Xenopus tropicalis: one gene and its partners. The protein of the gene in region 1 interacts with the protein of each later gene in a biochemical or structural test. Links are inferred from orthologs where the notes say so. Each region holds a gene or a part of one and is shown on either strand. Other genes may lie near its edges.

Evidence for each region.
Region 2: the proteins of rxra (region 1) and trim24 form a complex in vitro, tested with the Homo sapiens proteins (3 studies listed by BioGRID). The link is inferred for Xenopus tropicalis from reciprocal best matches to the Homo sapiens genes RXRA and TRIM24.
Region 3: the proteins of rxra (region 1) and ncoa6 form a complex in vitro, tested with the Homo sapiens proteins (5 studies listed by BioGRID). The link is inferred for Xenopus tropicalis from reciprocal best matches to the Homo sapiens genes RXRA and NCOA6.

Annotation. Positions count from the first base shown.
Region 1 is NC_030684.2:7,937,314-7,940,968, reverse strand, and holds part of rxra (retinoic acid receptor RXR-alpha), read left to right. Parts: intron 1-543; coding exon 544-694; intron 695-3,655. UniProt on the Homo sapiens protein: Receptor for retinoic acid that acts as a transcription factor.
Region 2 is NC_030679.2:7,785,204-7,788,858, forward strand, and holds part of trim24 (transcription intermediary factor 1-alpha), read left to right. Parts: intron 1-1,978; coding exon 1,979-2,097; intron 2,098-3,565; coding exon 3,566-3,655. UniProt on the Homo sapiens protein: Transcriptional coactivator that interacts with numerous nuclear receptors and coactivators and modulates the transcription of target genes.
Region 3 is NC_030686.2:41,076,899-41,080,553, forward strand, and holds part of ncoa6 (nuclear receptor coactivator 6), read left to right. Parts: intron 1-21; coding exon 22-2,754; intron 2,755-2,961; coding exon 2,962-3,030; intron 3,031-3,230; coding exon 3,231-3,258; intron 3,259-3,633; coding exon 3,634-3,655. UniProt on the Homo sapiens protein: Nuclear receptor coactivator that directly binds nuclear receptors and stimulates the transcriptional activities in a hormone-dependent fashion. Coactivates expression in an agonist- and AF2-dependent manner.

The DNA of each region.
Region 1 (3,655 bases):
TTTGGGTTCTCCTCATTGGAGCAATAAATCACTATATGTTCCCCCCAGGGGACAGAACCGTGCTGTTTGGGGCACATATAGGGCCTTTGGGGAGGGAGATCTGCAGCCCAGGGAACTCTGGTGGGGATCGGGCCTGGGCTGATGGGGCCCACCTGGCTACTGATGGGGCCCCAATCCTGGCTACTACTGGGGGGGGCGCAGGGGTTTAAGCATGAACGGGAATGTGGAAAGAATGTTCTACAGAATGAATAAATCTGCAGATTTATAACCAGGCAAAAATCCTTTATATTATTTACATGTATGGGAGGGAGCTGCCATATAGTTTTCCTTAGCTCCCATTACAGTGGCATTATATATATATATATATATATATATAGCGACTGCAAAATGATCTTTGTTCCATCTTGGAGTCCCTGCTGCTTATGGCATAGAGTAATGCACCGCATTCTGCCTCTATGGCTCTGGGGGGTTTATTGCTTTATATCTCTGTATGTATGTGTATATATATATATATAAATATGTGCATTTCTCTCTGCTCTTCAGATCCATTCCCCCATGAACTCGGTCAGCAGCACAGAAGACATCAAGCCTCCTCCGGGAATCAACGGCATCCTTAAAGTACCGGCCCATCCCTCAGGACCTATGGCCTCTTTCACCAAGCACATCTGCGCCATCTGCGGTGACAGATCTTCAGGTAGTGATTCCGGGTCTGCTAATGAGCTTTCTGCAGGGGGAATGGGCAGGAAAAGAGTGTGACAGTACAGTATGGGGGTACAGCTTATTGTGTGCCCAGAACATTCCTTCTCTGTATATTTGTATTTATACATATGGGTAGGAGGTGCCATAGTGTTTCCCTTAGACAGTACAGTATGGGGGTACAGCTTATTGTGTGCCCAGAACATTCCTTCTCTGTATATTTGTATTTATACATATGGGAGGGAGGTGCCATAGTGTTTCCCTTAGACAGTACAGTATGAGGGTACAGCTTATTGTGTGCCCAGAACATTCCTTCTCTGTATATTTATATTTATACATATGGGTAGGAGGTGCCATAGTGTTTCCCTTAGACAGTACAGTATGGGGGTACAGCTTATTGTGTGCCCAGAACATTCCTTCTCTGTATATTTGTATTTATACATATGGGAGGGAGGTGCCATAGTGTTTCCCTTAGACAGTACAGTATGGGGGTACAGCTTATTGTGTGCCCAGAACATTCCTTCTCTGTATATTTGTATTTATACATATGGGTAGGGGGTGCCATAGTGTTTCCCTTAGACAGTACAGTATGGGGGTACAGCTTATTGTGTGCCCAGAACATTCCTTCTCTGTATATTTGTATTTATACATATGGGAGGGAGGTGCCATAGTGTTTCCCTTAGACAGTACAGTATGGGGGTACAGCTTATTGTGTGCCCAGAACATTCCTTCTCTGTATATTTGTATTTATACATATGGGAGGGAGGTGCCATATCTCAGTATCTGAGTTTCATAGTTAGTGAGTGAAGTGAGTTTTCTTTCCCCGTTTAACTGTTTATTGCCCATGGATAGGGGCAGTAAATGGCAAAGCTGTAGCTGGGTGTCAGGCCGTGGGCGCAGGGAGTGGGCTGCGCTCTCCGATCGATGGGCCCTTATGCGTTGCTGCTGCCGTGCAGATCTGATTAATGGCAGAGTTCAGAACAAGCCCCTCTCGTGAGTTTGATGAAATCATAAAAGGAAGTTTGTGGTGCCCGGGGGGCTGCGGCCGAGGGGGGGGGGGGCCTTGCACTTTTTCACGTGTCTGTCTCCACCGTGTCTGGCGTGTGGTTGCAAGAGGCAAAGAAGGGAATCTATTATGTTATTTAAAGCTTATTGCCAGTCAGAAATGACCCTCAATGAATGTGAATGAGGAAATGGGAAAGGAATAGAAAGCGCAGCATCTGGAACGAGCGGCTAATAAATGTCCATTTAGCCCCGGGCAGATTGTCCCCGAGCGAGCCCACGCTGCCGGAAATACCAGTTCATCCTACATGGCAATTGCATTATGCATAAATTCCCAAATGTAACAGAGGCGGGGGGTTGTCTGAGCTTGCTGGGCTGATTTAGGAAGGGGTTGCTAGGGTAAGCGGGACCCTAGCAACCAGAGTAGGGTAAGCAGGACCCTAGGAACCAGAGCATAAGGTAATTTTGTTTAATTCCGCAGCCAAGGATCTAATGGAAAAGTGGGAGAATGGGTACAGAGAATGCTGGGAAATGTAGTCCAGCAATAGATGTGTGGGAAAAGGCTTTATTAATGTCATGTTCTCCCACAATGCAATATGTCAGGGCTGAAGCACCCAAACATGCTGCATATTCTCCTATCCCCCCAGAATGAATACGTAACAAACAGACAGTTTATATTATGTTTATTGACCTATTAAAGAATCTCCCCAAACTGGAATATATATATCAGTAAATATTGCCCTTTTACATCCTTTCCCTTGAGCCGCCATTTTGTGATGGGCTGTGTGTTCCCTCAGAGATCACATGACCAGAAATAATGCAGCTCTAACTGTAACAGGAAGTAGTGTGGGAGCAAAAGGCAGAACTCTGCCCATTCATTGGCTGATGGGGCCTAGTATGTGTGCCTTGGCTTGTTTATGTGCACTCTGACCAGGGTCGGACTGGGCCGCCGGGACACCGGGAAAATACCCAGGGGGCCCCAGTGGCCCAGACCTGACCCTATTGCTGCTTTCTCTGGCCTCCAGTGTCGGACAGGGGCCCCTGCGGGGTGGGGTTAGGGGTGCGCGGCGGTGGGGGACGTGGCCGGAGGAGGCACCTTGGGTGGTGCGGGGCCACGGTGGGCCCTTCACCCCCTAGTCCGACCCTGTCTGTGACTCCTATGATCCCAGGGGGTGGCCCTTAATTCTTAAAATGGCAGTTTTCTATTTAGGATTACCCAATGGCACATACTGCTAAAAAAGTATATTTTTATGAAACTGGTTTATTGAGATGAAGCAGGGTTTGGGTTTACTTCCCCTTTAAACTGCACCGCGCCCCAACCCCGCGGCTAGGATAAGCATGTGACCGCGCTATCAAGATACGTCGGCCCCTTGCGATCAATAATAATAAAGCGATTGTTTCCCACACGTCCCCGCCGCTCAGTCATTAGTGGCAAATGCCCAGGTGTGCCGACCTGTCACATTCCTGGCGTGATTGGCGTCCGCCTTGGCCGCTGTATCTAGAGCAAACAGAGCCGGCTGCCAAAATAGCAGCTGTAGGTAGGGCCCATGACACACAGCTATTTATACGCAGGAACTCGCCGCGAGGAGGGACCGTTTAAAGGGACAGCGACACGGAAATACGCAGTAATATTCTGAGATAATTTGCAATTGGTCTTCATTTTTTATCATTGGTAGTTTTTTAAAATTTTACTTTTTGTTTTTTTCAGTTTGGAATTGCAGCAGATATATGGTTGCTAGGGTCCAATGAACCTTAGTAACCAGGGAGTGGTTTGAGAGAGTGGTTGATATAGTAATAGTAGAGGGTCTGAATAGAAAGATAAGGATTAAAAAGTCACAATCGCAATAGTTTCTGGTTGTCAGGGTCAGTGACCCCCCCCCCCCCATTTGAAAGCTGGAAAGAGGCAGAAGAAAAAGGTAAATAATTCAGAAATGATAAAAGATAAAAAAAAAATTGG
Region 2 (3,655 bases), on another chromosome or scaffold:
CAGTAGTGAACCATTTTAAAGGAGAAGGAAAGTCATTTTGGCATTTTACTGCCAATATATTTGCAACATTAGTGCCACCTAGAACCCTATATTTATTCAGCAGAAAGCTTTACTATACCCTAGAGCCCTAGAAGCTCCCTCTGATAGCAGCTGCCATTTTAGCTTGGTCTTGGTAGCTTCCTGCTGCATTTATAGCTGTTGGAAGCTCAGATCACACCTAAGGGAGAGGGGGAGTGAGTTCTTGTGCATTCATATGGGAGGAGGAGAGGAGTCCTAAAAGAGAGTTAGTCTGATACTGAAGAACATGTTTTCAAAAAAGAAAACAAGAAATCCTGTGTTTCTTTTGATAGAGGGCTCAGTGCAGTGTTTCGAGGCTTGATCGAGGTGCACCGGAAATCCACGGGGGATCGACTGGGGGACCGTGATCGACGTATTGGCCACCCCTGATTTAACCCTTCTGAATGCTAATTAGCATATGCTAATTAGGATTCGGTTCAGCCGGGACCGTTGATTCGCCCGAAACTGTCCTTCAAAAAAAAAAAAGGCTGTATTCGGCCCGAATCCAGGATTCGGCGCATCCCTAGTGTATTATAATTTTTTATTTTTTGTATAACTTAGCATCGTGGATGGAAAATTTTTAATTGGTAAGCTCCTCCCCCATTATGTAATGTAGTCATTGTGGGAGGGAAGGGAGTCGTAGTCTCTGGCATGATTAACAAGGTCGTTATATGAAGGGAAATGGGCTGGGTGGCAGACAATGCCCATCACTTACATGTTCTATTTTGAGGATTGTTGTGAACAATTCCATTTTCCTCTTATTGCTTGGATTGGAATGTACGAAGGAAACGGGGAAAAAGTATCGGGAAGTGGTGTACTAAAAAAAAAGAAAAAAAATTCACCCTTAATGGATGTTTAAGGAAAAGATACATCAATATTTGTCAGATTTTTAAGTAAATGTTTAATGTATCAAGTGTTATTTCAGTGTACAGGTATGGGATCCCTTATCCGGAAACCCGTTATCCAGAAAGGTCTGAATTACGGAAAGCCCGTCTTCCATAGACTCCATTATAAGCAAATAATTCAGATTTTTTAAAAATGATTTCCTTTTTCTCTGTAATAATAAAACAGTACCTGTACTTGATCCCAACTAAGATATAATTACCCCTTATTGGGGGCAGAACAGCCCTATTGGGTTTATTTAATGGTTAAATGATTCCCTTTTCTCTGTAATAATAAAACAGTACCTGTACTTGATCCCAACTAAGATATAATTACCCCTTATTGGGGGCAGAACAGCCCTATTGGGTTTATTTCATGGTTAAATGATTCCCTTTTCTCTGTAATAATAAAACAGTACCTGTACTTGATCCCAACTAAGATATAATTACCCCTTATTGGGGCAGAACAGCCCTATTGGGTTTATTTAATGGTTAAATGATTCCCTTTTCTCTGTAATAATAAAACAGTACCTGTACTTGATCCCAACTAAGATATAATTACCCCTTATTGGGGGCAGAACAGCCCTATTGGGTTTATTTCATGGTTAAATGATTCCCTTTTCTCTGTAATAATAAAACAGTACCTGTACTTGATCCCAACTAAGATATAATTACCCCTTATTGGTGGCAGAACAGCCCTATTGGGTTAATTCAATATTTAAATGATATTTAGCAGACTTAAGTTATGGAGATCCAAATTACAGAAAGATCCTTTATCCAGAAAACTCCAGGTCCCGAGCATTCTGGATAACAGGTCCCATACCTGTAGTAGGAAAAATTGGTTGTCATATAAAATTGTTTTTTCCCCTTTCCCAACGCACATGCTGTGAGTCACTGACCCGTTTTTACCCTCTCCCATTGGCTGATTCCAGCATAAGCCATGAGTTTGCTATTCGCTACTGACACACACAGCATTGATGCAGAGCAGTGTATCCTCTCATGTCTTCATATTGTAACCCCTTTTATTTTTTTTTTTACAGTGGGGGTTATTCGCTGTCCCGTATGCAGTCAGGAGTGCGCAGAAAGAGACATCATCGAGAACTTTTTTGTCCGAGACACCACAGAAGTTCCCAGTAGCACCGTTGAGAAACCAAGTCAGGTGAGTCCTCCTATTGGTTATTAAAAGGGCAGTTACCATACAATTTAGCTGTGCTATCACCTATCACCAATACCGGTTCTTACAATACAAAACACATCATTTAGCTTTAAGAGTTGATCCTTGAACCCCAGTGGTAGATGTGGAGGGTTTATACCAGTATAATTTTTTTTTCTCTATTTTACTAGACATTATTAACAGTCTAACATACCTCCCAACTGTCCCAATTTTCGGGGGACAGTCCCTCTTTTGACAGCTCAACCCGCAGTCCCAGATTCTTACTGAAAAGTCCCTCATTTCTCTTTGATCTCCTGCACTGAAGCTAAAAAAGATACAATGTTTCTCAAACTTAATTAAATAGGTAGCTTTTGGCAGACAGCCCAGAAATCTTAACGAAGCGCCACCTGCAATTAGATACTTTGTTTCTCACATTTAATTAAATAAATGGCTTTTGGCAGAGAGCCCAGAAAGGTAAAAAGTCCCCCCCTGCACTGAGATACAATTGTAACTAATAAGCTAAACAAGTCTCTTGGGGGAGCTGAGACTCGCAGCTTAAAGAATAAGTAAACCTTTTTTTTTTTTTCTACCAGTAAAATTACTCTAAACAGCCTCCAGAATGACCTACCTTTGTCCCAGCATTCTGTCTGACCTGGCTCCTGAGTTAGAAGTTGTTGTTTCCTTTGCATCCTTGTGCAGAGTGAAGCCCCGCCCCCACTTCCTGTTCAGTTCCCTCATCAAAAAAAAGAAAAAAACTGCTCCTGCTGCCTCCAGGCATGTTCAGAAGGCTCTCCACTTTGACTACAGTAGTCGAAGTGTTGAGGGAACTGCACAAGGAAGCAAAGGAAACAATCAACTTCTAACTCTTGTGTGCAGGTTGGGTGCAGGTCACCATTTATTATTATTAACATTTATTTATAAAGCGCCAACATATCCCGCAGCGCTGTACAATAAGTGGGTTTCACACATTGGACATACAGAGTAACATATAAAGCAATCAATAACCGATACAAGAGGTGAAGAGAGCCCCTGATCAGGCCCAGTCCTCTGCACTAACACTTATATTCAACCATAAAGTGTCTCAACCCTTTCTCCTTGTAGATTGTAAGCTCTTTTGGGCAGGGCTCTCTTCACCTCTTGTATCGGTTATTGATTGCTTTATATGTTACTCTGTATGTCCAATGTATGAAACCCACTTATTGTACAGCGCTGCGGGGTATGTTGGCGCTTTATAAATAAATATTGATGATAATAATAAAGGGGAGTATACTGACCCTTTTACTGGGGAAGATACTGACCTGTATAAAAGTTAAGCAACATTTTAAAGATATTCCATTTTCCTTCTGTGTTTAACACTGAATACATTCTGTGGATTTCTAAACACATTGTTAACTGTTAAATCAGTCCACGCGTGACATAGATATTATTATTATTTATTCAAACCTTTTTTTTTTTCCTCCCCTGTGCCCTTCAGCAAGTGTGTACAAGCTGTGAGGACAATGCGGAGGCTCGGGGCTTTTGTGTCGAGTGCGTGGAGTGGCTGTGCAAGAACTGCGTGCAGGCG
Region 3 (3,655 bases), on another chromosome or scaffold:
TCTATATTTTTGTTTTTTTAGGGTTTCCACCTCAGCCAGTTGAGCAAAGGTCCTTACAGCAGATCCCTTCTCAGTTAATGCAACAGTTGGGGCAGCAGGCACAAGGCCAGGGGGGGCAACAACCAACTCCTCCTCAGCAAATGATGATGATGCTGATGATGCAACAACAGGACCAAAAGTCTGTGAGGCTTCCTGGGCCACAAGGAGAATTTAACCGCCGCCCATCTCTGAATTCGGAAGCTCAGAGGATGCCTATGCAGCCTGGGGGCAATATGCCTGTTATGGTGAATGTGCACGGCTCTGGCTCGATTCCACCGTCTCCAGACAAGCAAAGGATCCCTATGGCGCCTAATGTGTCTTTGGGAAATAATGGAAGGAAGATGGGATTCCCAGATAGCGGGAATCAGTCAGGGTCACCACTGGGCGAGGCGCCTGCGACATCTTCTCTGACTGATATTCCAGATCAGACAGCAGCTACTGGGCAGCAGAACAACATGCCCTCTCACTTGCTACTTTCCCAGAATCAGCTGATGATGCCTGGGAACAAATCAGGAAATCTTTCCTCTATGACTTTATCTCAAGGGGCCAATCCCCAGCAGCAGCAACATGCCAACTCCATGCCTGGACCTCATGGGCATCACTTTCCGAGTGTGCAAACTCCATCGCAGACATCCAGACCAAAGACTCCAAACAGAGCAAGCCCGAGACCTTACTACCCTCAAACTCCCAATAATCGTCCTCCAAGTACAGAGCCTTCTGAGATCAGCCTGTCTCCAGAAAGACTGAACGCCTCCATTGCAGGCCTTTTTCCCCCTCAGATAAATATTCCATTGCCTCCCAGGCCTACACTAAACAGAGGTTTTGATCAGCAAGGGTTAAATCCAACAACCTTGAAGGCCATTGGACAAGCTCCTCCTGGACTGACTGTAAACAATCCAACTGGTTTTCTCCCATCACACAACATAGTGGCAGGGAAACAGACTGGCAATGCTGGGAACAAACGAGCAAGTCCTAGCAACAGTAGGCGATCAAGCCCTGCTTCTAGTCGCAAAACAACCCCAAGCCCTGGCAGGCAGAACCTAAAGGCCAACAAGTTTGTGCTTGGGCCACAACAAAACCCTGCAATGCTGCACAACCTGGAGATGCAAAGAAATGCAATGCAGGCTCAAGCTTCAATGCAGTCCCTAGTCCCTGGACCTCCAGTTGGTCCATATCCACCAGTTTCTATTCCAGCCACGTGCGGTTTAACGGAAGAGACTAAAGATAGCTCAGCAATCACGCAGGAGGCAGACAGCCAGGCAATGCAAGTTGCCTTTAAGGAGCAAACTGAGGCAGAACTTAAAGCTATGGTTCAGCAAGAACTGAAGACCACTTCTGAAGAGATGTCCAGAAAAGAACTCCATCCCATGGACCCCTGTAAACCTTCCCCTGCAGAAGAGATCAAGCCTATGGTCTCGCCAGCTATGAGAGATGCACCTACGTCTCTGAGTCAGCTGTTGGATCACTCAGCTGCTTCCAGTCTTAAGTCCTCGGTAGTACCTATAACCGAATCACCTCCTTTACAGCTGCTTTCAGATGATCCCAAAATTTCTGACATTCCTCCTGTACCAGAAGATACCAGTAACAATAATGAAGTGGTATCCACACCTAATCCGCTTTTACAAATTGGACCACATGCAGCTCAACCGAAAACAGACGCCATGGAGCCCAGTACAAATGTTTCTCTGAACCTTCCATCTTCTGCAATGAAACGGCCAGCTGGCCAGACATCTGTTTCCAGCTCAGTGTCTCAGAGCCAGATAACTGTTTTTGTCACTTCAAACCCCATCACAACCTCCTCTACCACAACTGGCCCCATGACTTCCCACGTGCAGCAGCAATCGTTAATGCCAACTGTGGTTAATGTGCAGAATATGGGCAACAAGGTCATCGTGTCCGAAGGGCAGCAGGCTTCCCAGTCGACTGCGCGCCCTCAGTTTATCACTCCTGTTTTCTTTAATTCTCCTTCCATCATACAAGTTATGAAGGGATCACAACAAGGGAATATGCCAGTTTCCACTTCAGCATCCAGTTCAAACTTGGCTCCTCAGTCTGTGGCAGTAGTGGGGTCTTTACATATTCCACAGAATATTCAGTTTTCTGCTGGACCACCTTCTTCAACTCCACCTTCTAGTGCTGTCACCAGTATGCAAACAACTCGACCGGTCCTAGTTACCCCTCCTCAGAACACTGCACATCCTGCTCAGTCTCCATCTGTTGTTCCACCACCAACACCCTTTAAAGAGAGCAACAAAGAAGATATTAGTTCTAATTTGGGTGTAGCATCTGAAGAATGCCCTCCAGGACCTTCAAAGCCCATGGTTTCTCCTCCCAGCGATAGCGTAAGGAACTCTACGGCATCATCCAAGGGTCAGCCCAAGGTGGACCAGACTGAGCAGCTTATGTTCACTACGGTCAATAAGAATGTGACTGGTGGCATTCTAAAAGACAGTTTGGAAACAAACAAAGATGAACTTGGAGATGGAGACAAAACTCCCCCATTAGCCAACTTGGCTACTACTGATCCAGAGGTCACCACTGCAATCTCTTCTGACTCTTTATGTCCTCAAAACCCCAGTTCTAAAGAAGGGGTGCCTGCTCCATCTGCTGCTCAGTCATCAATCCATGGGGAGTTCAAGCATGTAGGGAACACTGTACCAGAGAAAAATGATACCACCTTGGATAATGTTTCGGCAGAAACCACACAAGAAACAGGTATGTACTCGACTGTGTACTAGACTAGCCTCCAGCATTTTTATTGTCCATTTTATAGAGATGCCCATCCCACTGGCACCCTAGTGTGAGAAAGGTTACAGTGTGCTAGTTTACTATTCGTTTTCATTTGTACCCCAGCCAGCCTGCAGAATCATGTTACCCCTCCCCACCCTAATATAATAATAATATTATGTTTTGCATGTTAAGCCTCCTCCAAAAGTTCGAGACAAGAAGAACGACCTGCAAGCAACAAGGAGAGCGCTCCAGAAAAACCTGGTGATTTCCTTTAATATCTGAAATTTTTTTCTTCTTTCCTGTATCATATACCTTTCTCTCTTACTGCTGTGTTCATGATAAGCACGAGAGACATTTTTGTTTTGGTCACTCCCCCTATAGCAAAAGTCACTCCCACATTTTCTGTGCCACAATGTTAGATTGACAAACATCAAGGGTTAACAGACTATTTTCTCTTGCAGGGGATGATCCCCAGGATATCCCAGAAAGGTAAGTCATATTTTATTTTACCATCCGCTTACACGGATATTGTAGTTCTTATAATGGGATTTCAATGTGATCTGTGGGATTTTTCTTGACTAGTTCTGCCCATTGGAAAATTTGCTTTATGAATAGACAGGGTTATGCAGCCTTCTATTTGTGCCAACACCCCCAAGGAAAAATGTAGGCCTTTTAGGCCTCACCACTGCCACAGTGGACAGATCTCATTGTGCCATAGGTCAGATCACTTTGGTTTAATATAAGTGAGTATAAACATGAACTGGCAAGTTCACGTATATACAGATTGTTTCCTGTGCTGGTCCGCTTTCTTTCGTTTGCTTCTGCTCATACATTGCTTTTGCACTTTTTACCCACAAACCACAGTGAAGCAACAGAGAGGCCGAAA